4 linked regions of the Astyanax mexicanus genome follow. The protein of the gene in region 1 purifies or fractionates together with the protein of each later gene. This does not show direct contact. Links are inferred from orthologs where the notes say so. Each region holds a gene or a part of one and is shown in the gene's direction. Other genes may lie near its edges.

Region 1 (7,109 bases):
ACTCTTCCAAACGAGTCTGCAGATCCTCACACTGCTGCACTAACGCATCCACACGCTCCAGCAGAGCATGCTGCTTTACCTGCATTGCCTATATCACACACACAAACATATACGCACACATTTTATCATTATCATTTTATATATGTGTATGTGGACAAAGTATTGGAACATACACTCATTCATTATTGCTTCTGAAAATGAAGGTATTACATACTGTCCAGGGAAGGCTTTACGCTAGTTTGTGGAGCATTACTGTGAGTATTTGACAGCATTCAGCATCAAGAGTGTTAATGAGTTCAGGATGGACCTCATTTCCCTAACTCATCCCAAAAGTACTGGATGGAGCACCATTGTTGCAGAGATCTCGGTTTCTGTACTCCACAGCACAAAGCTGGAAGCTTTATAACCTTCTAGCTCATGCCTGGCACTAGGCACAGTGTCAAAAGCTTCATGCTTATCTGCTCCGGAGAGTCCTATTCTATTGGCAGTACTTGTCGACAGAGACTAGACCAACTGTGTGCATGCATGTGCACATTTGTGTCAGCAATAGATGCAAATTAAAGTACATGAATGTTGACAGGTGTCCACAAACATTTGAACATATATTATGTATACCGTGTATACAACTGCATTTGAGTTCTTACAGTTCAGCTCTTTTGGCAAGAACTGTGTTACTGATAATTACACACCTCATGCTGACGTTGTGCACTGCGGTATTTGGCGCTCTCCTTGTCCAGCAGTGTTTGAATGTTACTGAGCTCCGTCTCTAACTCTCTCCTGCTCTCCTGATACTCTCTCTTCCTCTCCTCTTCCTGCAGATGCAGACGGTGCACCTCCTCCACCAGAGAATCCCTCTCACACTCTGCACAGAGAAACGGGTTGTTAACACATGGCCACATACACACAACACGCACAACACATTTAAAAGTCCTTTTAGCGTCCTTCACCATACTCACACATTAAACTGGTGCTCGAAAAAATATCCAGACATCTGTTATACCAATGTCTACACTTATGGAAAACTATTACATTAGATCTTTAACATTGTTGTGAGGAGGATGTGATTGCATTACTCAATTGCAAAAGTGATAATGTCAGTGAAGTCAAGTACAGAAGTTATATGATTAATACTGCCTCTTAAAAGTATTGGATTGAGCTCTATCACTCCAGAAAAATTCTGGGGAGATTTATACTCCTTTAGCTCCCTCAGTGTTGGGCATCGTGACCTTAGGGTTATGTGCTTAAAGCTATTATGAAGTGCCAGGTTCTGTTGACCACTGCTTTTCTATGGAGGTTCTGTTGTGTCTGGATACTTTTGGACATGTAGAGAACGTATACATACAATGTGTGTTGCTGGGGTGTTACTGCTAGATTAAGAGAATGTCCACCACCCAAAAATATCTAGTTACAAGTGGCTCTGCATTTAGAAACTGATAAGGCCTGTACACACTGCTCACAGGTGTGCTACAGCCTCTTCAAAGGGTTTCTGATAAAGTGGACAGTAAGTTGTACTCATTGTTTGCTTACGGAGACACTGCTGTGTTTCTCTTTGCAGCTCCAGCTCTCTGCTCAGCTCTGATACTCTTATTTCTAAAGCTTTTGCTCCTAAAAAAAAAGAAAGAAAATTACCTGCAGGTTTTGGTTGTAAAATAGATAGATAACTAGATAGATATTTTATTGAAAAATGACTGTAATTTATTTAAAATTTAGTGCTCTGACCTCTCTTTATCTCCTCTTGCTCCTCCTGTAGCTTCCTCTGCATCACCTCTCCTCTGGTCTTCAGCTCCTGCAGCTGGCGCTCCCACTCCTCTTCCCTGCTCATCCTCTCCTCTCTTTCTCTCTCTGCTCTCTCCTTCTCTTGCTCCAGCTGAGCCCTCAGCTTCCCTCTCTGCTCTTCTGCTTTTTTCAGTTTGTTTCTAAGTGAATCCACTGTTTCTTTCACCTCCAATTCAAAACAAACTGGTCACATTAGTATTTGTATTAACTTTCGATTAAGTTTCGATTAAGATAAATGAAAATTATGAATATAAACAAACAGTTAAGTCTAAAATTATCTAATTTAGTTTTAACACTGAAGCTACAAGGCTAATGAAACATGTTATTTGCTCCAACTAGAAAATCATAAGACATTTCAGAGGTGTGTTATATAAATGGAAAATAACAGAAAAGCAAGAATAGTAATAGTAACACATTTTATCTGTTGAACTGTGATTACTGTGACCAACACCTGATCACCTCACCTCAGTAATGTGTTGTTCAATGCGCCCCATATCTTTACGCTGCTCACATGCCCACTGAGCCAAGTCACTTGCAGTGAGACGCCCCAGCTGCTCCGTGTCCTCCACAGCCATCAGCAGGTGCTGCAGGAAGGAGTTCACACCCAGAGCCCGGCACAGAGACAAGCACGCCTCTGCACTCTCCTTCAGACTGGACTGAACGCGGGCACAGGCTGTACACGGCACCAGTGCAGACTCCACTGTCTGAACGCTCACACTGCGGGACTCAGAGGCAGGGGCAGGGGGAGCTGTCCTGCTGGGGCTGGAGGAGGCTGGGCGTTGGTTCTGTAGTTTGGAGGCTGGGGTGCTCAGGGCACTTCTAGCAGTGGATGAAGTGATGTCAGTTTGTGAGATGCTGTGCTGAGGAGCAGATGGAGAACGCTGGCTGTTTTTACTAGTTGTTCTCTAAAATAAAGAAAAAGAAACTCTGCTCATATTTGACATAAAACATTTAAATCATAAAATCAGATTTGCCCCAATATTGGAAACAATAATACTTTGTAGTAATAAGCTTTAATAAATGCAAACTTAACTTAACAATATCTGATTATTTGTTACTTACTTGCAGTGCTGTCATTGTTGTTACATAATTATACTTTGAATTCCCTTTAATTCCCTTTTAACCATAAAAAGCTCATTGATAACTTTTTATGAGTTAGTTATTATTAAGTAATTTTAATGTAATTAATAATGACATTATTTTAAATTATTATAAAAAAAATATATTAAACTGCGTATTACCACATGAAGTCAGCATGTTAGTTGGACCTGATGCACTATGTTAACAGTATATACACATTTCATATGTTACCCCTTGTTGCTGCTGGCTGCTAAGCCGGACGAGGTTGGTCCAATAGCGTTTCACCACTGGCCCGATGGACACCCCTTGCCCAGTTTTGCCAGAATGGCCTCTCTGATCTCCCATCATCATCTCTGTGTAGATGTTAAAACTCTGCAGCAGTAGCATCAGTCTGTAACAGACAAGTAAACACACACTTCTTAGACTTATTAAAACTTTTTAACACTTATTAAAAAGCTCAATAACATGGCATATTATAACATTCTGATTATGTGTTAGTGTGTTCAGCTTGGGTTGATTGCTTGTGATCATCCATCTTTCTTATGATTATATTCCAGAGATTTTCAATTTGGTAAAATCATCATTGGGAAATTTTAAGTGGTCTCTCTTTTTTTTCCAGAGGTGTATTTTAAATGATTGGCACAATAACACAAATCTAAGTGTACTCTATTTTAATTGAAATACCCACTAGCAAATAAATAGTGTAAAAAACGAAAAGGTGTGATTCATCACAAATTTCTATTGTTTTTCTTTTATTGATTATCTTCTTTTATTGAAATCACTAATTAATATAAATTGCATTATTTGATTTGCATTTTAAAAATGCATTACTGTCAGACGCCCACCTACCTGTCAATCACCAGCTCCAGCAAGACGATGTGTGAGTGCTGGTTGAACTCAGGCTCTCCCTCAGTATAGTCATATTCCTGCAGGAGCTGCACCAGGTCCACATTACACGATACCTTATCGGGGAATTTCCACGATGGAACGCGGACCGGCCCGGTTCGAGAAAACACGTCCAGAACCGCCGCCTGCAGGTCGATAACGTCCCTGCGGAGACTCTCCACGCAGTCCTGGCGTCCTAACAGATGCGTCATCCTCCCATTCAGCTTTCTGAAAGCGCAGAAACACTTTAAACTTCTTTATTTTTCAACAATACTGTGTGCTTCCTCTGTTTCCTCCGTCACCGTGGCTACCTGTAGTCCTAACGCCACTCTAAGAAACTACACTTCCCATAGTGACCCGCAGTCCGTGTCCCGGATGTGATCGTGTTTTTCTGCAGGCCGCCTACCCCGGTTTGATGGCGGAGTGCGCACGTTAATTATCGAAGGTTTTTTTGTTTTTAAACTCAATAAATGAGTGTTTCAGCTGAACAAAAGAGATCTGTGTGGTAAACAGGGTGGTATTGAGGACGGAAGGTTGTGTGTGAGTGTGATTTTCTCTAATCCCAGCCCAGTTTGAAGAGGCAGCCATGCCGCCTGTTCAGATCAGCCAGCCCGAGCCCAACAACAAGGTGAGCCAACAGCGACTTTACTGTTTGTATAGTGATTTTCCCATTAATTCCTTCATAGTTCTTTCGTTAGGTATTAATGTGTGTGAAAAGTAGTGCTTTGCCAGCTAACGTTAAGTCTAACTGTTTAGCTATCTAGGTTAATTAACGCTATAGACTTTAAGACTAACTTAGCTTTTACTTCGTTAGACAACTGTCTCATTTTTTATTGTGTTAAGTTTGAATTTGCTAATAAATAAAGTAATAATTATTGTTTATTTCTGTGTTTGGCTGCAGTTTGCTTTTAAATCTAAAAACAAGCGCAGAGAAATACTATTAAAGGCATAATATATGTTTATGTACTAACAGCTGACGTTGGTTTAGCTTTTCTAGCTAAGCATTTTAGCTATGTTAGCTAAACTAGCTAGCTAACGAACTAGTTTAGTCGGGACCAGGTAAAAAGCGGAATCCGGCGAAAACAGTGGATACGTTAGCTATTTAATGGGTATTTCGAGCTCTCTATTAGAGTAGTCACAAAATCAATGAAAGAGTTGTGTTTTACACGTTAGCTAATCATCTTATGTAGCGTTAACTTAGTTAAGTAACTAACAAGATTGGTACACCACGTTATTGCAGGATTCTACATTTGAATTGAATTGAATTGAAATGAATTGAAAATGTTTCTACTGTCAAGAGTATGTAGAATATAAAACGTTAATGCTTTGATTAGTATTGGATTTATAGTGTTAAGCCAAGAATTTAAATTATTAAACTGAATGACAATTCCCCTGGTTTTCCAGTTGAACAGATAAAACATTTAACATTTCGGTGTTTTAAAGTTTTAAAACGGGCTATACTGCAGTATACGTGCACCATGACTTTTTTTTAGGGTGTTCTATGTTACATAACCCGTCCTGTATAAACGATTCCACACCCAGGACCGATTGTGGGCTTGTCTGGGTGACGAGGACAATTTTTTTCCCAAGCTGTGGATCGATGTGCAATTCCAATTGTCCTTTTCTGATATTTATATAAACATAAACCATTCCAACACCTTTCTCTCTCTCTCTCTCTCTCTCTCTCTCTCTCTCTCTCTGTCTCATTCTCTATATAAATAATAATTTTTTTTCTTCTGTTTTGCAGGGCGATGAACAGAAAGATGAGACGCCGGCAACTAAGCCCATTGTGGGAATCATTTACCCACCACCTGAAGTCCGAAATATCGTTGACAAGACTGCGAGCTTCGTAGCCAGGTCTGGTGCACTGTCTGTTTCATATTATCTGATGTATTGTGCCATGGTTTTCACTTTACTTAATGCTTAAAATTTAAAGCCACTGAATCGGACAAGTTATTAAACAGATATGAGCCTTTTCCACACTGTACAGAGGTGCGACTACAAAGTATAATGAAAGGTTAACTTAACAAACACTTTTTGTGTAATATATGTATGCAGGTAAATTCTTCACAACATTGCTTGTACCTTACTGAACCCATGTCATCCACAGGAACGGCCCAGAGTTTGAAGCAAGGATTCGGCAGAATGAGATCAACAACCCAAAGTTTAATTTTCTCAACCCTAATGATCCTTACCATGCTTACTACCGCCACAAAGTTAATGAGTTCAAAGAAGGAAAAGGCCAGGAGCCATCGGCGGCGGTGCCTAAGGTTATGCAGCAACAGTCCCTGCAGCAATCCCAACAGCAGCTTCCACAGAAGGTAAGTTTCCAGCATCTGAATGTAGAGTATCCAATACTTTTCCTGTATTTATTTGTCTATAAAATCTTTATAACATGTAAAATTTTGTTTGTTCCAGTGTTGTAATTTTCCCTATTTGTCAATATTTCTTCAGGTCCAAGCCCAGGTGATCCATGAGACAATTGTGCCGAAGGAGCCTCCTCCAGAGTTTGAGTTCATCGCTGATCCTCCCTCCATCTCAGCCTTTGACCTAGATGTTGTGAAGCTGACAGCTCAGTTTGTCGCCCGCAATGGCCGTCAGTTTCTCACACAGCTGATGCAGAAAGAACAGAGGAACTACCAGTTTGACTTTTTGAGGCCTCAGCACAGCCTCTTCAACTATTTCACCAAACTGGTGGAACAGTACACAAAGGTAGATTGATGAGACCATCTGTAATAACTCTAAGTTTTCAAATGGTTGTAAGTTTTGTTGTAACTTTTAAAAATGTTCTAAATGAATGAATTTTGTTTGTGTATTGTTTAATTGTGAAGTGTTTTGTGCTCACTCTGAGGTTTGTGTGTGTTTTTTTTTTTTAAATAAAGGTTTTGATTCCTCCAAAAGGACTTCTGCAGAAACTCAAAAGGGAGGCTGAGAATCCACGGGAGGTTCTGGATCAGGTAAGACTTATTCATTCCATAAAATCTAATCTCCGATAAACAAGATGTCACAATACATATTGTGTAGAGGCAAGAAAAAAATGGTATTCAGGAGTTATTTTTGAAGAATAATGATATTTTAATGACACACTGTTTATTTCTGTTTAAATTGTTGTTCTTGCACATAGAGTACACCATGAAGGCCTTACTGATTTATAATATTTGCTTCTGTTGTTTCAGGTGCGGTACAGGGTGGAATGGGCCAAGTTCCAGGAGCGAGAAAGGAAGAAAGAGGAAGAGGAGAGAGAGAGAGAGCGTGTGGCTTATGCTCAGATTGACTGGCATGACTTTGTTGTTGTGGAGACAGTTGACTTCCAGCCCAATGAGCAAGGTAAATGTGTCCAGATTAAGTGAATAAACTAGATTAACTGA
Region 2 (7,890 bases), on another chromosome or scaffold:
AATAGTGGACCCACAGCCACATAACTGGTTATTAATGATTTTTAAGGCATTTACAACCTAATTAATAACCATTAATAAACTAATTGTAAACCATTTAATAACCCTTTATAAAGGTAGTCTTATTTTAAAGTGGTACCGAAAGGCCGTACTATATTTGTTTGTGCACCACTTTTTCCCCCACATATGATAGTACATGATAATATGCAAATTACTGTCTCGACCTACTGTATCAATTAAAATATTAATTTAGTTAAAACTTATGTGTAACTTTCAAATTGTACACCAAAGCAAAAATGTTCAGTCCAGGCTCCCCGAGGGAACACTTCACTTAGAGGCCCTGGGTAGTCAGTTCCACCATTCCCCCCAGCTGTGACACCCCTGGTTCCTGAATGGCCTGCGGATGATGCTTCTCATTGCACGATACAATGAGCCTTTTCTCATCAGCGAACATCTCAGCCTGCTGCGGCTATTAAAATCCAAATAGGAAAATAATCATTTACAGAGACTCATTCTGTCTTTTCCAGTCTGAATAGCTGTCTGATGATTATTGCCATCTCTTGTCTTACGTTTACAGCGCTGTAGAATAATTGTGAAATTGCATCTTGTTTCTTCCTAAGTGCGTTTATTGAAAACCAATTACCATGTTAGCTATGGTCATGGGCTCGCAGATGTACTAACACACACACGGTGTCTCCATCCTGTTGTAATAGTAGAATGGTAATCTGATCTGCACATCTGAAATTAAATATTCCACAGTGCACATCATTACCTGGAGGGTTATGCTAATGGAAGATGCTGCCTCTGAAAAATGAAAGGCAATTTCCTTTCTTCGCAATTCCGCTGAAATTGCTGAATTCAGCCAGACGCAGCAGCACCTCTGAACCTGGAGATGAAGTGCTTCAAATTGTATTCCAGCCAATGGGCTCCTGTTGTCCCCTCGCCCAGCTGCCAGCTGTGATGGTGACCCGGACACTGCCTAAAGCTGAAGCTCCTCTGCAGGTCTGTCCTCCGCCAATTCGCCCTGGCATCTGTGTTCTGGCCCTGGCAGGTGGGCTTTCACAATGCAGATACACCCTCCCTTAGCCATTCTCACTGGTTCACTATAGAACTATCTAGAGATTTAGTAAGATCCTCTGATGCACATTTGAGTTTACTCGTCGGTGAAAAGTTTGTTTAAAGCTGTTTATAAGAGAGAAGATATATGTATTGATGAGTGTGTTAGGGCGTATGTGTGTGGGTGTGTGGGTGTGTGTGTGTACTTAACGATTTTCAAAGCTCTCCTTGAGGAACTCCAGTGTTTACAGTTACCGTCCAGTACCTAGTTTATTTAATCAATCCTTCATTAAAGTAAATCAGAAGAGTTGCTGGTGGGACTGAAACAATCAATACAGTCACTAAAGTTCACACAGAAGTCAGAAACCAAACCTGAGTTTTGGGTTCTTCTAAAGCACACATCAATCTTGTAGACCCTGTTTACACCAGGTCAAATTACTTCCCAGCTAACAGAGAACTTTCTAAGAACCTTTAACAACATTTTAAAATGGTTCAAGGAAGGATAACCTGTAATGTTAAAGAAATAATGTTTCAGGAATGTTCTAAAAACATGTGACATTATAGTGGTTTGCATCATAATGTTATTAGAATGTTATTAGAACCCTTGTCAAGTGACTTCCCAGCTAACAGTAAACTTTCTAAGAACATTTTAAACAACATTTTAAAAAGTTTTCAGGAAGGTTAGCCTGTAATGTTACAGAAACAAAGTTCCAAGAAAGTTCTGAAAACATGTGACATGATAACGGTTTGGGGTTGTATCTGCACTGTATCTTGATCAGATCATTTTTAACCACATGCATTTCCACTTGATAGTCAAATGAATTTTGATTGAATCACATCATATTCTAATTGTTGTTGCCTTTTTGTGGTATGGCCTTATCCAGATATAATCTTGATTACCTTAGTGTCTAAGAACTGAGAATAGTCCACCGACTGCCCTGTAGGCAGGGTGTTTAAAAACTCCAGCAGCACTGCTGTGTATGATTCATTCATAGTATTAAAACACACACTACTCAAACACACCTGCTCTGTGGTTGTCTCTCCTTTGGGATCCTAACCATTGAAAAACAGGGTGAAAAGAGGATCATAAAGTATGTAATGAAACAAATACAAAACTAAAATCTGTAAATAAAGACCTATAAAGTGTAGAAACAAACAGGTAATCATATTTGAATGTTGTGCTTGACAGGTGTATGAAGTATTTTATAAGAAACACTGCTGATATAAACTGTTTTCATACGTTTTTAACTTGGAAACAGTACTCTCCCATGTTTTGTGCAATGTGAAGAACACTAAACAAGATCCACTTTGAGTGTCTTAGTTCAACTAGCAGCTGCTGGATGGTGAACACAGAGGAATACAGAGGCAGTGCACTGCTGGATAAGCTGCCTGAAGCCATCATGTTTTCATACAGCTCTTGGCATTTTCTCAAGCAGCTTTTCCCACAGAAGCAAAGAGGTTTTTCATATGCTGACTCGCTAATAACGTTTAAAACACATTCATATATAGGGGAGTTATTTGTATTTTCATCAGAAATGTTGAATTTAATCGTGTGAACATCTGTGTTCACATTGATAAAGGTTTCAATGTGCATTTTTTGTGCATCTATGAAAGGTGTGTTGAAACTTGTGTTTAGGAGACTGTAAATCAGTTACAGTGGAATATGTTAAAGATGAACAGTGAGAAAATAATAAACAGATCAAAACTGCTGATAATCCCCCATAAGTGGCCATAAGATAAGATAAGATAAGATAAGATAAGATAATCCTTTATTAATCCCACAATGGGGAAATTTACCATGTTACAGCAGTGCAGAGTAAAGGACAGAGAAACAGGTCAGGAAAAGGTAAATACAAATAATGATAAATCTATATATACAAAAAAACTATTGCAGGAAAATATATAAAGATAGTTAAAAAAATTATATATAGTAAAAGAAAAAATATATATACATCTAGTGCATAGAGATATGATTATGGTAGGGTGGACCAGTATTATTGCACAAGAGTAACAGTGAATAAATATCAAATAAATAATAGATAAAAACAAAAGTGAGAAAAAAATATTGCACATTAAATAAATTGCACAAATGGTGATCACAGTACTCGTAGTGAGATGGATATTGCACACGGTAAGCATTACAGCTACACTGAGTAGTATGTAGGTTGTATGAAGTCCTGGGAGCGTGGTGTGTTGTATAGTCTGATGGCGTGTGGAAGGAAGGACCTGCAGTATCTCTCCTTCACACAGCGTGGGTGCAGCAGCCGGGTACTGAAGGAGCTGCTCAGTGCTGTCAGAGAGTGGTGCATGGGATGGGACAGGTTCTTCAGCATGTTGTTAAGCTTAGTCCTCATCCTCCTGTCTCCCACCACCTCCACTGGGTCCAGAGGACACCCCAGGACAGAGCTGGACTTCCTGATGATTCTGTCCAGTCTCTTCTTGTCAGCGGTGGAGATGCTGCTGCCCCAGCAGACCACTCCATAAAAGATGGCTGATGCCACCACGGCATCAAAGAAGGCCTCTGACCTTTCCTGTAGAGAGCAGCCGTGTTGTCAGTCCAGCTTGTTGTTAAGGTGGACACCTAGGTACTTGTAGGACCTCACTATCTCAATATCCGAGCCCTGGATGTTCACAGGCACCGGAGGAGAGTGTTTGGTCCTGCAGAAGTCCACCACCAGCTCTTTGGTTTTTAAATGCCTGATTACAAAAGAAAGCTTTTGCACTTGCATTGCATTCAACAAACCAGTTACTCTAATCAGACTTGCAGTAAGTGTGTTAAAGCAGGGACAGGGTGTCTCCAGGACAGGGACTGATAAACACTGAGTTAGCTCAGCAGCATCAGCAGCTCAAATAGCCAGTCAGAACTGTGGGAGACTCCATTCACTAGGTGGCAGTACAGAGCTCCAGCACGCCATTCACAAACTTACAAACTTATAGGAACTAGACAGAAACAGGGTTGCCATGTTGAGAAAAAAACTTATTGTAAACGTACATTTGTTGTTGAAATCATGCATATTTAATCCTATTTTAATATGTTTAATATTAATGTAATTAGATTTTTGCTATATTCGGGGCTTTAAATTTTGCTGTATTTTTAAATTGTACCAAAAATGTGCATTATGCCAGGAAAAGTGTACATATAGTGCTGTATGATATAACATTAAATGTTGTTTTGCCAAGTTAAAACTTCAGCTACTAAATGTACCCCCTAATACTTAGACAATCACTTTCAGGCTTATCTGAAGTTACACTGAAATACATATTATTTATATTTGTGTAACAATTTCTCTTTTATTTGTGTGTAATTAAATATACCTATTATATATATTATGTAAAATAGTTTATTATATATAGTTTATTATTTATATATATATAAATAGTATATTATATATATATATATATGAGTGAGTTAGCGAGTAAGTTTTGCTCTCATAAAAAAAACCTTCACATTTAATTTGAATTTGAATTGAGGGATATGGAAAAGCCTCTGCACTTAGCCTTATTTAAAGTTATATTATTTATGTAACAATATGTCATTTAATTGAGTGCAAATATATTATTTTTTATGTATTAATAATTTAAAGTAATTAAAAGTGTCACGTTTAACTACACTTTAAATTCCCTCTACTTGTTTAAAAAATATTAGTATAATATTATGAATATAATATGTATTGTATTCTATATATTGTTTAGTTAGTGAGTTAGTGTGAGGTAAGTCTGTCTTTTTTAAATCAAAAACTTCACATTGAATACCCCCTTGGATGGATTATAGGGATTTTAACGTCAATAGCACGAATCTGGCAACCCAGTGAACAGAAGCCATTTGCTGTGGGCCAGCGCTGCGTTAGCGGGGCCGTGTTTTAGCTGCTGCTCTGCTTTCTGAGACGCACCGCAGTTACCCCGGGTCTCCTGGAGCTCCTGTATCGCTGTTAATACAGCGCTGTTTATAGTTCAGGGTGCGGGTGTGAAGAATAAGCTGCCAAGATGCCGCGAATTATGATTAAAGGAGGCGTTTGGAGGAACACTGAGGTGAGCGCTGGGTTAGCAGTGTGGTGCTGACAGGCTAAGCTAACGGAGCTCGGCTATGCTAGGCTAGCAGCCCTGCTTTAGCTGTGAAGTGTGAAGTTAGCGTGTTTAAGTTACTACAGCGTTAGCTGTGTCGTACATATAACTATATTTTATTGGTTTAAACAGTATTAGTCAGTGTTTCTGACACACAAATACACGGGCAACATGTATTCGTTAGCTAGCTAGCTAGTTTACAGATACAGGTAGCATGCTAGCTAGCTAGGTTAGTTAGCTGGACTTGTTAAGTAGCTAACGCTAGCTGTGTGGCAGCAGTGTTTGTGTGGGTGCAGGTTGAGCACCTCTGGACTGAGTTAAAACCTAACGTTATATTAACTGTTGATCTATCTGTTAACATTACATTTTTGCCCTCAGTCCTGAAACTGCACAGCTTGTTTTTTCTGCTCTAACTCGCCTTGTTTAAAGCCAAAATTAGTCCTCGTGTGCAGATAAACACCAAACTACAATACACTGCACTGATCTGGCGTTAAGTAACGTTAGACTAATCAGCAAACTAGTTAGTGTGATCGAGGCCTTTGTAGGTCTTAGTAGCAACACATTCTGACCACCAACTGATTTTTTGTGTATTTATGATAAGCCAGTGCTACTGAAGTGTTTAAATACCACCGGGTTCATCATCTCAGTGTCTTAGGGCTGCATCGATTAGTCGACATAATCGGCAATGTCGATTATTTAAAATCGTCGACTACACATTTCATTGTCGACTAACTTAATTGTTAATTTGCAACAGTACCGCATTACACAAAGTGCAGAGGACATAAGTGCAATGGAAGATGAGTAAATGGTTCACTCAAATAGTTTACACTCAACTTAGTCTCTAAAAGTGACCAAAATCAAATCTTATGTTCAACTTTTTCTATCAATTTTAGAGGTGGAGGACATGGCAGAAATAATCGTTGACTAATCGACTAGTCTGATGATTAAATCATTAGTTGCAGCCCTAGTCTGAGATTTTGAGAAAAGTCCACATACAGTGCTTAAAGACTTCAGCAGCACTGCTGTGACTGATCTGCTCATACCAACACAACACACTAATACCTGACCATTGAAGAGGAAACTGTTTAAAAGGAGGATAATAATAATAATAATGTGTGCAGAGAAACAGAAAGACTATAGTCTCTAAATACAAAACTCCAAAGTGATAAATGAGTGTGGAATCAAACAGGTGATGCTTGCAAAACGTAAATGAAATTTAAACAGTACTCTCCCATTTTTTTACAACTTGAGGGAAAGTAAATAATATCCAATTTTTGAGTGCCTTAGTCTATCTAGCAACTGCTGAATAGTGAACACAGAGGAAATCATAGGGAGCTTCCTGAAGCCATCATGTTCTGATTTATTTGCGAAGCACTGTTGTAAGTCACTCTGGATAAGGGCGTCTGCTAAATGCCTTTAATGTAAATGTAGTTAGTAAGTTATTTAGGTAAGCATCAAGTTTGTCAAACTAGCTGACAAATCTAAACACAATACAGCCACTCCTTAAAAAGATTTATTAGTACTAATTCCAGAAAATGTATCCAGTCATTGTAAAATATTTGTGAACTTAACAATCTGTTCTTTTTCCCCTGTTATCTTTCTGTAGGATGAGATCCTTAAAGCAGCTGTAATGAAATATGGCAAAAATCAATGGTCCCGGATTGCCTCTTTGCTGCATAGAAAGTCAGCTAAACAGTGTAAAGCTAGATGGTAAATCTGTTCTTGTTCTCTCTCAGTGCTGAGTGTTCTGTTTGTTGTTCTGCTGAAGGCTTTTTTTAAATATACTGATTAGTACTAACATTTTAAATTACTTGTGGGTGCTCTTAATGATGCCAAAACCAGTTCTGAACTATTGATGTCTGAGTTCAACACTTCTGAATGTGTCCAGTGACGGTCTGGTCTGGTAGGGCTGGGTATCACCACAGATTTCCAGAATCAAATCGCTTCAATTTAGTTTATTTGATTTAATCCAGTTCAGTATCAATTTGTTTAGGGATATTACCGTTACAATAACAGGTTTTGTTTATATATAAAAAGAGATTTTCAGTGAGCTAGTGTAGCAAATGTAAAAGGAACACTCAACCTTAAAAATATTAGTTAGTACTTGAGCTTCTTAGTACTTGATGTGCAGTAAAAAGACTGTTTGATCACATAAGATCAAAGAATAAGAGTGTTAAAGATTTACACAAAAACACATGGGGGAAATAAAAAGATTTTAAAAGACTGAATTCGAGTTTATGTGAATCAATATCGAGTCATTTAACTGAAGATTGCTTTGACTCGAAAAATATATATTTTTTTTAACCCTCCCCTAATATCTGACATCATAATGTTAAGAGCTTCTGTAAGATGTGAATTGTTTGTCTAACATGTCACACAGATGCTCAGTCTGATTGAGATGTGGGGTAATTAGAGTTCAAGTCAACACCTTGAACATTGAGATGTTCCTTGTACTGTTCTTGGACTGGATTTGCTGGATTTAGCTACTGTTTCCCAGCAGATTACCGCTTGCCTTCTCCAGTGTGCATCATATTGCCATCTTTTTCTCATGTGACTGATGTAAATGTGACTGATGTATATGTGCCTGTCTATCAGGCACAGGATGCAAAAGAAAATGTGATTTATTAGACCAGGCCATTCTTCCATTACTCCAAAGTCAGGTTGCCTTTGACAGTCAACACCATGTTTGTGTGTTCAGACATGTTCCTGCCATGGCCAGCTATAGCTTGTCAACCATTTGTTCTGCCGTAACTCTTGCATCAGACCAGACCGGCT
Region 3 (8,004 bases), on another chromosome or scaffold:
TGATGTGGATAAACAGTACAATTTAGAAACAAACAGTAAAAACATGACTGTTCAACCTTTATTCATAAATCCATGTCTACTTTTCTGTCTGAATTTACAGTTATCCAGGTATCCAAATAAAGAGTGTGCATGTTTGCTGCCACCAAGCTGTATCATAGACAGTTGTTTTTATTGTTCATCGTAATGCAGTATAAATGCTATTACATTTTAAAACTTATAAAATTGAATATGCAACAGATTTAGCACTAAATCATAAATATGAAGGATATGGGGCCTCACCCCAGCCGCCTGGGATCCGCCGTCCTCTCTGGAAACATTGAGGCGGTGCTATGCCGGGACTGACTGGCTCTAACCAGTCATACCGGCCAGGTTAGTGGTCTAAGTAATGGGCAGTTTAGTAATATACATTCTTCTGATGATTTATCTTGCCACTTTCCTGTTCATAAGGCCGTGAGTTACAATTATGTGCCTTTTTCTGATACAAGTGCATTTTTACTGTGTAGGATTGAGACTGTGTCCCATGTGTCGCTCGAAATCGAAAAAGTCAGAAAATCTGTTTTAATAATCTTATTAAAATTAAAACAACAGCATCCGTCTCTCAGAGTACCAGCAGCGTCCGTATTAAACTAGGGCTATTAAATATAAGATCGCTAGCACCAAAATCAGTAATTGTTAATGATATTATTACTGATAATCACCTTACTGCACTATGTCTGTGTGCACTATGTCTATGTTTACCCCCCCAGGTTTTAGCTATTTTAGTTACCCACGCAGCTCTGGTCGTGGCGGTGGTGTTGCCACAATTTATAACTCAATGTTAGGTATAACTCAAAACTCAGAATTGGATGCTAAGTCGTTTGAAGTTCTTAGTCTTAAAGTATCAGGCCCATCTCCTGCTTCCAAAACACAGCATTTGTTCCTGCTAATAACACTGTATCGTCCTCTTCAAATTTTATCCGTGAATTTGATGACTTTCTAGCAGCAGTAACTCTTCTTTCTGATAAGGTCGTAATTGTTGGAGACTTTAATATCCACTTTGAAAAGGATCAGGATCCACTAAAATTGCATTTAAATCAGTTTTAGATGCTCTAGGTTTCAAACAAAATGTAATTGGCCCCACTCACCGATGTAGTCATTCATTAGACTTAGTTTTGACACTGGGTATCGAGGCTGAGAATACAGTTACTCTTTCTCAACATGACTCGATATCCGATCATTATTTAATTATGTTTGAAATAGTTTTTAATCAAAATATCCTCCTCCCACCCCGCTATATCAGCAAGCGTAAAATAACAACCTCAATTGCTAGTGATTTTGTAAATAAACCCCCTGACTTAACTATCTCCCTTCCGTCCCATGAACATGATCTCGAGCACATAACAGAAAACTTACAAACTGTGCTCCGCTCTAACCTGGATCATGTAGAGCCAACAAAAATAAACAAATTAGGGATTTTTCCAGCTCGCATGGCAGCATAGTCTCACAGACTACAAAAAAGCCCTAATTAAAACAAAATCCCAGTATATCTCAGCGCTTATTGAGAAAAACAGAGACAACCCTAGATTTCTTTTCACTACTGTGGCTAAACTTACCGGCAGTCAAAAACAAACTAGCTCCGTTACCCCAGCCAACATTAATAGTAATGATTTCATGAAGTTCTTTGATGATAAAATTAATAACATTAGACAAAAAATTCAGTATTACTCCCAAAATGTACCTATAGATATTAATGAATGCTGCTCCAGCTCTGAGGCACACCTAGAGTATTTCAGCCTGGTTACAGAAAAATATTTACTTAGTGTAATTAACTCATCAAAAGCGTGCATATTAGATCCAGTACCCTCACAGATACTTAAACAGGCACTGCCAAAGGTGGGCATTACTAGAAATAGTAAATTCATCTCTTAGCATGGGCTACGTACCCAATTCTCTAAAATTGGCGGTCATTAAGCCCATTATCAAAAAACCAAATCTGGACCCCAGTGAGCTTGCTAATTATAGACCAAATTCTATCTTCCTTTTGTAGCCAAAATCCTAGAAAAAATTGTGAAACAGCTTTACTTAGAGTAACTAATGATTTACTTTCAGCTCTTGATAGGGGCAGTACTGCTATACTTGTACTGCTAGATCTTAGTGATGCTTTTGACACCATAGATCACGCTATTCTGCTTGATAGGTTAGAAAATCTTATAGGAATTAAAGGATCTGCCCTTACCTGGTTCAGATCTTATCTGAGAGATCGATTCCAGTGTGTTTATTTAAATAAAGAATGCTCTTATCAGTCTAGAGTAAAATATGGTGTCCCTCAGGGATCAATACTGTGTCCATTACTCTTTACATGTTACCGCTGGGTAAAAACATCAGTAGGCAGTATACTCTCTCTGGAAGATGCTGAGAAGCTGAAGCATGCATTCATAACCTCGAGGCTGGACTACTGAAACACGCACTGTTGGCTGGAAGTCCACATAAATTACTTCATAAACTCCAGCTAGTTCAGAATGCAGCCGCGAGAGTGCTTACTAGAACCAGAAAGGTTGATCATATTACCTATTCTTTCATCCCTACACTGGCTACCTGTTAAATTTCGTATAGATTATAAAATACTCCTCCTGACGTATAAATCCCTCAATGGTCTGGCCCCGCATTATTTGCAGGAACTTCTTACTCCTTACAATCCGCCGCGTTCACTCCGCTCCCAAGGCGCTGGCCTGTTATTAGTCCCGCGCATTAGAAAAAACTATCCAGGAGGAAGAGCTTTTTTTTATAAAGCTCCCCAACTTTGGAATAGCCTCCCTATTAATATACGGGACTCAGACACACTCTCAATCTTTAAATCTAGACTCAAAACATTTCTATTTGCTCAAGCTTTTGAGTAATGTCTCATTACAATTTTCTTCCTCTTACAGCTTATCCAGCAAATATAAACCCTGTCCTAATCATCTGCTTTCTCTTTCTCTCCCCATGTCCTGAGCTGCTGAGTTTTAAAAACCATTCTAACCCCTTTTTCTTCCCTCCCCTCTCTGTTCTCTCTCTCTATCTCTCTCACATGTGCTGAGATGCCCGGCCGGTCTGCCTGGATGTGTCCGTTTGTGGTTCCAGTTTTCCAGAATCAGCCATGTCCTTCTACTCATCAGAATTATTACACAACCCTTCTAACTCCTGATTTTTTCTCTTTCTTTCCTTTCTGTTTTCTATTTCTTTTAAATGTATGGAGATGCCCTGTTCCTGTTGTTCCCATCCTGGCTCTCCACTGCCCGCTGTGTTCTACTCCGGCTCTGCAGCCCTGCACTGATTAACATTAACACACTCAGTATCTGTTTCTGTATTGGCCATAGCTCTATAATTTGTGCTTATCACATTTTTATATTCATAAATTAGTACCTTTTATTTTAGCTAAAGTTCACATTAATTCTCTGTACTGTTGTTTTGTTCTGTTATTTGTTTGTACTGAGCAGGTCAACCCGAGTAGGATGGGTTCCTCTGACTGAGTCTTGGGCTGTATTCGGAATGGCATACTACTATACTGCATACTGCATACTGCACTAGTATGTACTGCATACTGCACACTGCCCAGTACGTAGTATTCAGTACTGCAACACTTTTGATTGGAGTACCCTACACCAGGGGTGTCCAAACTTTTTGCTGGGGGCCAGAAGGAGAAATATATTTGAAGTCAAGGGCCACACTCTGTAATAAAACAAATAATGAAATATACCACTTTAAATAATACTTTTTTCCTGATTATTTCATTTACACACCATTTTACTTGGCTTACTATCTTTATCTTTGACAGTGTTGTGTAAACTAAGATTTTTCAAATTGATGTTTAATTTCATGATGTCTCCTAATGTTAAACTCCTTAATTACGGCAACTTTTAGACTCATTGGCCTCGTTTTTCTGCGCTAGAAATGCGCACTCTCTCCACTTTTAGACTCTTTGCCCCGTTTTTCTGCGCTAGAAATGCGCACTCTCTCCGCTTTTAGACTCTTTGGCCCGTTTTTCTGCGCTAGAAATGCGCACTCTCTCTAAAATTCTAAAATATATAAAATGTTATATACAGTGCAATTGGCACTGTATCCAAAATATAATTTGTCTTGCAGGAAGCCAGAAGAACGCTTTAAATACCAAATGAAAATGGCTCTTAAAAGGTGTAAAATCAAACCTGGAGATCTGGAAGATATGGCTGCTGATCGCAACACCTGGTGGCAGCTGTGCCTAGTTGGAACCCAAACACTGGAGGAGGAATAGACAGCCAGAAGACAACAAAGAAGACAACAAAGAGTGCTCTGGAGAGACACACCAATGGTTGGCAGCCAAACAAACACTATGCAATAGAATCTGTGGATCCATGTTGGACTGTTCAGAAAACTCACCGCTAGAAGACAGAGATGGACGTCATCCTCGGATTCGATGGACAACCACAAGCAAAGTGTTTGCTTCCACCCAGCTGTCATACACAGTTTCTGAAATGCTATTGAATTCGTGAACATATAAAATATAATATATGAGGGAGTTGTAAGCATTTTGCATAATGTTAATGGGTGTGCAGTTTTCCCCATGATTTAAAGTGAACATTCCCGTTATTTTGATGTGTATAAATCCTAAAGGATATGAAGCTATTGGTGTGTTTTTTTTCTTAAAGCCATTTATTCTTATATGAGAACATTGGCATGTTTAGGCACTGAAGTGATTTGGAGGTAAATGAATGAGTGTTTACAGATGCAGAGGTGGTCTAGAACTACATGCATATTATCTCAGTTTTCGGTATTAACGCTAAAAGGCGTTGCGCACATTTTCCCGAAACAGTAAAATGAATGATGTGCGTCTGTCTCAGTGGTCCTACTGCCCTGATTATGTAAGTATCATCTGGATCAGATGGATCTCACCCTCCGTTTAAAATTTATTAGCGCCGAAAAATGAAACTAACTTTACCGAGATAGCAGATGCTGATGTTATAGCGCCCCCTGGGTGAGAGACTCGCCTCTGGAGAGATTGCGTGGTGTTGGTGTGGACTTTTATTTTGACGTGTTTTAATAACGCGAGACTTTAGCAGGGAGCTGGAGCTCGGGGGAGAAAGGTCTGCGCTGAGAGTCTCCAGTCTTGAGCTGAAGCTTTTCACAAAGAGAGAAAACATGTCTCTGGCCAGGTGAGTCACTCTGGAGCCGGTTAGCTTTGTTACCCTGTTGTTAGCACTGTCGGCGGGTTACTCACAGAACTGTGTCTGTGGGGGTGTTCTGGTTCTCTACTGCAATCCGTTTTTGGCTGAAAGGCCTAAGTTAGTTGTTATTTTATCCGCTAGCTTTAGCCAGTTAGCTACAGGGCTAACTAGCTTAGCAAGCTAACGCTAACGCACTTTCTTCCCCGGTCATGAACCCACGGGTAGATTAAGCTGTAATCAAGGCTGTCGTTTGTTTATTAGCTATAGTTAAAATGTAGATATCAGATTAGAACTGTGTACAGAAACATAACAGTTACTGCACGCTAGGCTAGCTAAAGCTAGTCTTACTGTAGATATCCGTCCAGCCAAAACGGTGTTCAGCGATCTGTCTGTCTCTCTGTCTGTCTGTCTGTCTGTCTGTCTGTCTCTCTCGGGATAAACTGACAAAACACTCAATGTAAGTGTAAAATATATATTACATTACACTTACATTGAGTGTTTTGTCAGTTTATGCCAGTTATACCAGCACACAGTCATGTTTTACCATAAGTGTACTCAGTTGAACATTATTGGACTGTTAATAGATAGATTGGTATTGTATTTTTAATGTAGATATGCTTTGTTTTACAGTTTTTTACCCGCGCCCACTCAGCTGTCCCAGGACCAGCTTGAGTCAGAAGAGAGGACCAGAGCTCAGAGGTCCCAGTCCACATCTCTGATGCTCACTCGAAGAGAACCACCTCCCTATGGTTCTCGAAAAGGATGGGTTCCCCGCAGTATTGAGGTGTGTCTGTGTTTATCTGCTTGTAACATATTAAATTAAATGAGTTCAAATAGTTTGTGATGTAGTACTTTTCATTTTGTACTATAAAAACATATTAAAATTACCATTTATTTTAAAGGATTTTGGAGATGGTGGTGCATTCCCTGAGATCCACGTGGCTCAGTATCCACTGGAGATGGGCAGAAAAAAGAAGACATCCAATGCCCTTGCTGTACAGGTGGATGCTGAGGGCAAAATAAAGTATGATGCAATTGCTCGACAAAGCCAAGGAAAGGATAAGGTACATCTTATGTTAGAACAGTTTAGAATTGTTTATCATATTATAAAATGTATGCTCACACCTTGTGTAATTTCAACAGGTTATATTCAGTAAATACACAGATTTGCTTCCTAAAGAAGTGCTCAATGATGATGCCCCAGAGTTACAGAGACCAGATGAAGAGGCCATTAAAGAGGTGAGATATGTTAGTGGTTGTTTGTAAGCATTTACAGGTTGTCAGTGGATAATAATGCAGTAATAATTGATTATAATGAATTTTGGTTTGGTTTTTGGTTTTAATTAAAAATAATGTTCTTGAATTTTAATTGGGGGATGACTGTAATTTCCTTGTTAGTACTTTTGCTGTAATGTTGTTAAACCTTATTTTTCAGTAAGATTTTAAGGTTTTGAAATTTATTTCTTTAATGAAAATGTAACATATATTCAAATGTATTTCTTTTATTTCAGCTTACAGAGAAGACCAGAGCTGCTTTGGACAAGCAGGTTTCCCAGAAAATTGCTGCAGCAATGCCTGTACGTGCAGCAGATAAACAGGCACCAGCACAGTACATACGGTAATATTCAAACCTCACAAGTATGTTTTACTGTGGTGTCAATTGTGTGGTTCAACCTAGATATTCTGTAACTTATTATTTCTTTGCAACAGGTACACACCTTCTCAGCAGGGAGTAGCATTCAACTCGGGGGCCAAGCAAAGGGTCATCCGTATGGTGGAGATGCAAAAAGATCCAATGGAACCCCCACGTTTTAAGTACGTCACAGGACCCACAGTGGTGAACTATGTTACTGTGTACATTTTAAATGTAAAAAGTTATGGGCTAGTGTATAGTACCAGTAAGTAATTTCTAACTACTTGCTAACTGAATAAAGATCAGGAATAGTATGTAAGGTGTCTTGCATATGTCTGTTTGAATAGAATTAATAAGAAAATTCCTCGTGGACCTCCCTCTCCTCCTGCTCCAGTTATGCACTCTCCCAGTAGAAAGGTGAGTACCATAATTTAATCAGCATCATATTTGCTCATTACATGGGATACATTTTTAAATTTTTATTAATTAACTTTCTTATTGTCTCAGATGACGGTGAAAGAACAACAGGAGTGGAAGATTCCTCCATGCATTTCCAACTGGAAGAACGCAAAGGTTTCAGCAGATTTTTGTTGTCTGCCTTTACAATTATCTACCTTTAACTCTGTTGTCTTTCTGAATGGCAAAATAAATGTTCATTATTGTTTTTCAGGGTTACACAATCCCACTGGATAAACGTCTTGCTGCTGATGGAAGAGGTCTTCAGACAGTTCATATTAATGAGAACTTTGCAAAGTTAGCTGAAGCTCTCTACATTGCAGATAGAAAGGTAATCTATCTATATTTGTCAAAAAAAAATACAGGTGGACAATAAGGACTAAGTGATGAACAATTGTTGTTGATTTTGGGGATTATGACTCACATACTTTCTATACTGTAATAGTTTAATAGGAGGAATGATGCCGTTTCTTTTTTCTTTTCTTTTTTATCAGTACCGTTTTTTGCTCACTTTAAGGCGCACTGTATTATGAGGCACATTAATTAGCGTTTATTTTCTTACACAAGGCACACCAGATTATAAGGTACATTTTAAAAGACACTATAAGGAACTTCTACTTCAGCAGGTCTCGCAGCTGGGTGGTGGTGGGTTGTAGCTAATTAAGTTAAGCTAAGGATACAAAACTTTATAAAAAAAAAAAAAGTAAAGAGCTTTTGTTCATTTACAGTAAGCTTAGTTACTGAGATAATACACAC
Region 4 (6,880 bases), on another chromosome or scaffold:
TAATAGCATTTAAATCCCACATTTATTTATTTATTTGTTTCTGCTCTCTTTTTGAGTGATAGAGAAAGCACGTGTATTTAGTTATAAAGAAATAAACTCTGACCTGAGCCTCGTCCTCGCCTGTGATCAGGCTGACCTCAGGGGGTTTGGGTAGCATGTAGGCGGTGAGTTGGGTCACCATGTGCACTTGGCGGGGATCCTGCCACGGCGACATTCCTGCCTGGTGCACGAACACCATGGCGTACAGAGTTCCATTCTTACGTGTCTTCTTGGGCAAAGACACATTTACTAACCTTTAGTGGAAAAAAGATAGAAAGAAGAGAATGCCTTAAATTAATCTAACATTTAATATTATTAATAAAATTCACAACTTCATATCCATTCCAAATTTTTTCCAGCATGTATTTAGCAAATACATAGTCAAATCATTTAATTATCTGAAATTGGTCTACAGCAATAAGGCAATAAAAAGAAAATACAAACCACTAAAATAGCCAAGAGTGCCAATGCTACAGAGTAAATTGTCACTGTCCAATAAAAACAAGCATCTCCAAAACAGCATTTTATCAGGAGAGAGATATAACCTTCTTGACTTTCAATTAAAGTCAATGTAAAAAAAAAAATGTAAAAAAAATAAAATTTCAGGTCAATTTCAGGTCATTCCAGAGAACTTCTATTGGTCCATTCATTAAGAATTTTTTACATACTGTAAAAGCGTCAGTTTGCGTGTTTTTAAATTACAGTATGTAATAAATCGAAAAAAATATTTTTTTAGGTACATGTTTTTGACAGCGATGATATACTATAAATAAATCTGCAGTGTAGGTTTGGCAGGGTAGTACACAAAACTGTATTTATTAAATATTTATTAAGGATATTTGTGTATAATCAGCTTATATCACACTTTAATATATGCTACATTCTTCATACTAAAAAACTATTTAGTAGTAGGAACTGGAATAAAGGTAGGACATACCCACAGCCTTTTTGAAATACCATTATTTTTCACACTATGAGGCCACTCTGCTGAAGTACAGCTGAAGTTTCTCCAGAAGTTTCACCAGCACCAAGGCTGGAGCAGTATTAGCATTAGCCGCTAACCTCAAAAGCTCCTTCAATCTATAAATATGAAATATGATCCTCAGAAGTGAGTTGTTTAAGTCTTTAAACTGGAACATCTTGCTCTATATTAGGGATTAGGGGTGTTAAAACCTGTCCACATTGGCTTTGTGTGGCCAATGTATACAACAGAGTAAGTATATCCAATGTATTTGGTGAATCCCCACTACTAACTAAATGACTACAGAACTTTACCTCTCAAATCTGGTGTTCACATCAAAATCCTCCTCTCTGTGGATCAGACTGTGGCCACCTTCAGTGTTGGGTCGTAATGCTGTGTAGATGCTTAGCTGTGGTGAAGATAACAATGAAAAATATATTTTTTTAAAATGACAAGACAGACTTTATACACAGTTGGTTTGAAGAGATAGCCTCAGCAACATCTCAGGGCCTATGGAATTAATGTTTAAGCAATAATACAATAATAGGAGTGGGAGTGCTATAACTTGTAATTACAGCAGTGCTAATATAACATGTTATAGCACTAACCTCAAGCGTATTGTTGAGATTATACTACAGTTTCATTACCACTGTTTATTAAAATATTTCGAGTTAAAGAGGAAGAGAAAATACGATATGTTTGGTTATAAACACTCTGCAAGTAAAAATAGTTCCATTGCTGCTCTGTTTGTAGCTGCGCAGTTTAGCTTGTAAGCGCTGCATCGTTGCTAGGTTAGCTGTATGTGGTGGAGTAATTCATGGAGAGCTTCGGTTAGTTACAGTGCATTACCGGCTGATAACGGCACTCATAGAACACCTACCTCTCAGCCAATCACATTGCAGGGTTGGAACTAACTTCTACCTCTGTAGCACCTTCACAGTTTTGAACTGTGATACAGGCGTGGATGATGTTTCCGTGTACTTTGGTAGGTGGACACTTACAATATGCAGATCAGTCAATCAATAATAGCGCCCCCCTGCTGACACCAATCATCTGCATCTTACCGCTATCAGAGGCACAATGCCGATGCTGCAGCTCAGCCAATCAGCTCCCGCTCCTGCTCTCCCACCCCTAAACCCATACATCACCCAGTGCCCCTCCCAAACTAACTAACCCCTCCCATTTTTTTGTTTAGCATTTGTTCAAATTCGAGCTGAGGGTGGGGTTTAGTGCCACTTTCAAGAACCACTGATCTGAAACCCTAAAAAACTGAATTAGTGAACACAGTTATCTAAAAATTAACACACACACACACACACACACACACACACACACACACACACTGCTCACCTGCAGACGAGGCTTTCCCGCCAGGTAAGGGCTGATGCACTTGTCACTCTTGGGGTTGTCGCAGGGTTTGGTGTAAACTATGCCATACATCACCCAGCAGGTGTGCAGCACGTAGACGATGAAGACCCCCACTATGAGGGTGGTGAAGGAGGTCTTCTGGAACATGCTGCTTTAGCAGTTCCTCAACTAAAAGCTACACACACACACACACACACACTCACACCGCTAACATGCTAACCCGCTCTCAGCACAGCCCGCTCTCATATCTCAGCTCCTCTCCTCCTCCAGGTGAGGCAGGTGAGGCAGGTGAGGCTGTAGATCCTCAGTAATCCAGGTTTCTGAGCTCAGACTCAGTTTTAGGTCAGATTATAGTGTTTCATCATAAGCGAGCTCTGACTCTTCCTTCCGCCACTGAGCTCCTGGGTTGTGGGTTGCCAGATTGGTTGCTTTCAAGCTTAATTAAAAAAAGCGAGTATGGGCAGATTGCAGGTTGCAACAAGGTAAGCAAACCATTCAATTGACTAGTGCTAGAGTTATATTTTTCATATAAAAGCTTTATAGATCCAAAGGACCCAAAAGACCTAGGATAGAATTTCGCCAAACATTGAACGGGACAACAAAATACTTTATTATCACAATCAACATTGTTGTTTAGAAACAATGGAACAGTAACAAAACAAAGTTTGCCTTAACATTTAAAAATTAAAAATATATATATTTTTGAGGTAGAAAAGGAGAAACCACAATACAAAAATAAAATATAATTTTCACCTCAATAGACATCTTTTCTAGTTAATTCTTTCTTTGTTTCTTTTTTTCAAATAGAATAAAACAATACAAAAATAAGGAATTTTCTTCGCTACTGTACTTTTTTCGTCGCTAGACAGTCAGTGCATGCAGAAAAGAAAAAAAAGATTGGGTATCGATCTTTTTACATGAGCATTGCTCAATACCAATACCAGCGTTGGTATCGATAGTATCAATATTTGGATCAATCCGCCCACCTCTAACTAGGGCCCCAAGCTGGCCTGGGGCCCGCAGAAATGACAGGCTAAGAAAATGTGTGAGCTGTTAACGAAAATACGATCTTAAAATGTTTTAAATAGTTCAATTGCTGCTCTGTTTGTAGCTGTGCTGTTTAGTTTGTAAGCGCTGCATCTTTGGTTGCCTACCTGTATGTAAAAGTAATACATTGAGAGCTTCGGTTACAGTGCATTACTGGCTGATAACAGCACTCATAGAACGCCTCTCAGCCAATCACATTGCAGGGTCGGAACTAACTGTGGTATAATTTACACAAATTCTGCATGTGAAACTGTATCACTTCATCAGCCTTAAGCAATTATACCTCATATTACAATTGTACTATTGTCTTGTGTCTTACGTATGTCTATACTATTAAATTTACAATTAAAAATGCGTATTTAGTTATTAACAGTACATAGTTTAATGCATGTGTTAAAACGTACTAAAAAAAATAAATGGGGTTCAACGAGGGGATTTATGTGTAGATCTGGCAACTGTAACCTGTGACGTAGACCATGAATGGAGTTCTTCCGTGCTGCGCCGGATGTAGTCATCTGTGTTTCAGTAGCGTTTCGATAACGTTCGTTTATTAGCGCTACAATTTTTTCTCTCTCCGGCGGAGGATTTCTTTACCGAATCCACCGCTAACATGAAACTCGTCAGGTAGGCGGATTGTAGACGGTTTATTTTACGGTGTTCAGTTGTTAGATGTTGTAAATTATCCCCTGTTTGATGGATGGGGCTGGATTGTTTGTGGAAGCTAACAGGCTAAATGAGCTGCAGCGGGGCTGAGAGGCGGGAACCGGGAGTTAGTCAATGAATGAATGGGTGGATAAAAAGAGAGTTTATCTCATAAACGGAGCTATAAATGCCGTTTTAAACTAAACTCGCTCTTTGCTGGGGTGTAATTTGTCTAAATTAAGCTAGATAAAGTGAACTAAACTGTTTATACTGTGCCCCAAACTGCTAGCTAGCTAGTTTGCTAACCTAGCTTAGCTAACCTACTCAAACAGGCTGACTTTGGCTGTTTGTTAAATGTAAGTAATATAAATTTTAATACAGGGTTTAGTATCTTAAAATTATTGTATTTGGCTTCTAATCTACGTTACGTGGTTGTTTATAACCTGTGTATCCAGTTTAAGGAGAAGCTGTAGCTGCCCTTTATGTGAATTATCCGTTCCACCTTAAATTGTGCAGTAGTTACATGCTAGTCTTGCAGTTGTTAAGGTGGAATTGATAATTCACATAAAGGGCAACTACACTTACACTGCTGCAGGGCTTACACATCTACTGCACAAAATTTTAAGGTAGAACCGACAATTCCAACATGAAGGCAAGTTTAGCTTTGTAGTGAAGGTGTAGCTGCTTCTTATGTTGTAATTGTCTGTTCCACCTTAAGTCGTGCATGCAGGTCAGGAGCTGTTCGTGTGTTTGGCTATTTGTTAAATGTTAATGTTAAATACAGTTATTAGTAACTTAAAATGAGTGTATTTGGCTTTTAATCTGCGATACGTGGTTGTTTATAGCCTGTGTATTGTTGTGAAGTAGTTACGTGCAAGTCCTGCAGCAGTTAAGGTGGAACGGACGATTCACATAAAGGGCATGTAACGTAGACCTTAACTGCTGCAGGGCTTCTATGTGACTATTGCACAATTTAAGGTGGTACTGATAATTCTAACATAAAGGCAACTGTGTGTGTGTTACAGAGCCACTATATGATTTATGTCTCATTTTAAGTGTGTTATGTTCTTTTCTGCAGGTTTTTGATGAAACTGAGCCATGAAACTGTTACCATTGAGTTGAAGAATGGCACCCAAGTCCATGGCACAATCACAGGTGAGGATGTGGTGTTTTTATATTTTGATGCATTAGTCTTTTAGTAGGCTGAAGTAGAGCTTCACAATACATTTCTTAATTTTGGTTGATGCAATATAATGCTTATCAATACGAATAAAAAGAATAAAACCTTAAAACTGTGCCTTTAAATTTCGTTTCAGTGTATTATTTACACTTTTATTTGTGCCACAATGATGCAGATGATAAAAATGCTTTGTTCTGTGTACTTATGTCAGGAGTGTGCCGTCTTCTCTGCATATAAGCTGGCTTCTACACATCCAGCAGCACACCTGATTCCACTTGTTGAATCAGCTGGTCAGTCTTCAGGCAGTTGATGGCTTAAATTAAAACCTTCAGCCACACTGATCCTTTTTGTGTGAAGACCTTTTAATAAAGAGTCAGATTTTTAAATACCAAAATGTGCAATATTATTATTTTTTAATCAGAGCCTGATTGATCATATGTGCTGTATGGGTATGTTAAAGGCATACTGGCCGATCGAAGCACAGTTGTCATGGTTGCAGATCAAACAAATGCACAAAGATGGCAGCTCAGTTTGTTCAGAGCTGGGCACAGAAGCTTATGACTGACAACACTTTGATTTATTATAAGAATACGTTGATGGAAATATATAGTGGGCAATGAGCACTATATATATATATATATATATTTAATATTGTGTAGGTGTGTTCTCTTTTAAGAATGAGAAGGAAAACAATTAAAGTATGAAAAAAGTATAGAGTAGAACGTGGAAAGGAGCTGTGGAATTTCTGCATCAGTTCAGAGCACAGAAGGCAAAAATTCTGTTAGATTTGGTGTAAAGTTTCTACTATGTTAAATCTCTTTTTTTTTTTTTTATCTGATAATCATACTTTTTCATACTTTATGTAAAAGATTGAATCCTGTTCAGGGACCAAAAAAATGTGTTTGCAAACATTTAATCATGTTTTTTTTTTTTCTATTTTGTGCTCTGGGTTTTATACATTGTATACATTAAATCAAAACTGTGTGTATAATTCAGGTCAAAAATCCACCCTTTTTAGTAAGCTTTTAGTAGTTTTTTTTTTTTTTTGTGAAGCCCTATTTAACCCTTTGTATTGTGGCTATTTAGTGGGGCATCATCATGGCTCTTGTAAAGTCTAAATCAGTTAGCAAAACACAGAACAATGAGCTATATACTGTTTAATGTCCGTATGTAATGGTAAATTTTAAGGCTTTAAAACAGGACCCTATTGAACTGGAGAAGTATCTGTCTGCCTGATAGACAAACTGACTTGTCATTTTCCCTCTTTTTATTCAGGAGTGGATGTCAGTATGAACACCCACCTAAAAGCTGTGAAGATGACCCTGAAAAACAGAGAGCCCACCCAGCTGGAGTCGCTGAGCATCCGCGGAAACAACATCCGCTACTTCATCCTTCCAGATAGTCTTCCTCTTGATACGCTGCTGGTGGACATAGAGCCCAAAGTCAAGTCAAAGAAGAGGGAAGCTGGTAAGTGCAGCACTGTGTGTAAGGGGGAGTTTAGTTATGTACAGTGTAAGAGTGTACTGCTTCTGAAATGGTCAAGAAATATCTTTGTATGAAGATGTTTCCTCTCCCTGCTGAATCATTACCTTATTTAATATTTTTTAAAATATTTTTATAAATAACCATTTTCAATACAAATA

The links.
Region 2: the proteins of sf3a1 (region 1) and cdc5l purify together in Homo sapiens (affinity purification with mass spectrometry; 3 studies listed by BioGRID and IntAct, with this or other methods). This does not show direct contact. The link is inferred for Astyanax mexicanus from reciprocal best matches to the Homo sapiens genes SF3A1 and CDC5L.
Region 3: the proteins of sf3a1 (region 1) and snw1 purify together in Homo sapiens (affinity purification with mass spectrometry; 3 studies listed by BioGRID and IntAct, with this or other methods). This does not show direct contact. The link is inferred for Astyanax mexicanus from reciprocal best matches to the Homo sapiens genes SF3A1 and SNW1.
Region 4: the proteins of sf3a1 (region 1) and snrpd1 fractionate together in Homo sapiens (co-fractionation; 4 studies listed by BioGRID and IntAct, with this or other methods). This does not show direct contact. The link is inferred for Astyanax mexicanus from reciprocal best matches to the Homo sapiens genes SF3A1 and SNRPD1.

Annotation. Positions count from the first base shown.
Region 1 is NC_064419.1:31,893,666-31,900,774, forward strand, and holds the start of sf3a1 (splicing factor 3A subunit 1), read left to right. Parts: upstream 1-4,103; 5' UTR 4,104-4,327; coding exon 4,328-4,369; intron 4,370-5,488; coding exon 5,489-5,598; intron 5,599-5,851; coding exon 5,852-6,062; intron 6,063-6,195; coding exon 6,196-6,453; intron 6,454-6,623; coding exon 6,624-6,698; intron 6,699-6,917; coding exon 6,918-7,068; intron 7,069-7,109. Other genes in the region: ccdc157 (coiled-coil domain-containing protein 157), read right to left, coding at 1-88, 690-862, 1,528-1,605, 1,720-1,942, 2,241-2,681, 3,088-3,247, 3,706-3,953. UniProt on the Homo sapiens protein: Component of the 17S U2 SnRNP complex of the spliceosome, a large ribonucleoprotein complex that removes introns from transcribed pre-mRNAs.
Region 2 is NC_064421.1:16,938,556-16,946,445, forward strand, and holds the start of cdc5l (cell division cycle 5-like protein), read left to right. Parts: upstream 1-4,868; 5' UTR 4,869-5,037; coding exon 5,038-5,082; intron 5,083-6,721; coding exon 6,722-6,825; intron 6,826-7,890.
Region 3 is NC_064408.1:54,941,388-54,949,391, reverse strand, and holds the start of snw1 (SNW domain-containing protein 1), read left to right. Parts: upstream 1-4,993; 5' UTR 4,994-5,133; coding exon 5,134-5,147; intron 5,148-5,789; coding exon 5,790-5,943; intron 5,944-6,061; coding exon 6,062-6,223; intron 6,224-6,302; coding exon 6,303-6,398; intron 6,399-6,670; coding exon 6,671-6,777; intron 6,778-6,869; coding exon 6,870-6,974; intron 6,975-7,139; coding exon 7,140-7,209; intron 7,210-7,299; coding exon 7,300-7,365; intron 7,366-7,462; coding exon 7,463-7,579; intron 7,580-8,004. UniProt on the Homo sapiens protein: Involved in pre-mRNA splicing as component of the spliceosome. As a component of the minor spliceosome, involved in the splicing of U12-type introns in pre-mRNAs.
Region 4 is NC_064410.1:2,559,623-2,566,502, forward strand, and holds the start of snrpd1 (small nuclear ribonucleoprotein Sm D1), read left to right. Parts: upstream 1-3,879; 5' UTR 3,880-4,025; coding exon 4,026-4,039; intron 4,040-5,135; coding exon 5,136-5,212; intron 5,213-6,512; coding exon 6,513-6,704; intron 6,705-6,880. Other genes in the region: clptm1l (cleft lip and palate transmembrane protein 1-like protein), read right to left, coding at 104-293, 1,315-1,409, 2,351-2,515. UniProt on the Homo sapiens protein: Plays a role in pre-mRNA splicing as a core component of the spliceosomal U1, U2, U4 and U5 small nuclear ribonucleoproteins (snRNPs), the building blocks of the spliceosome.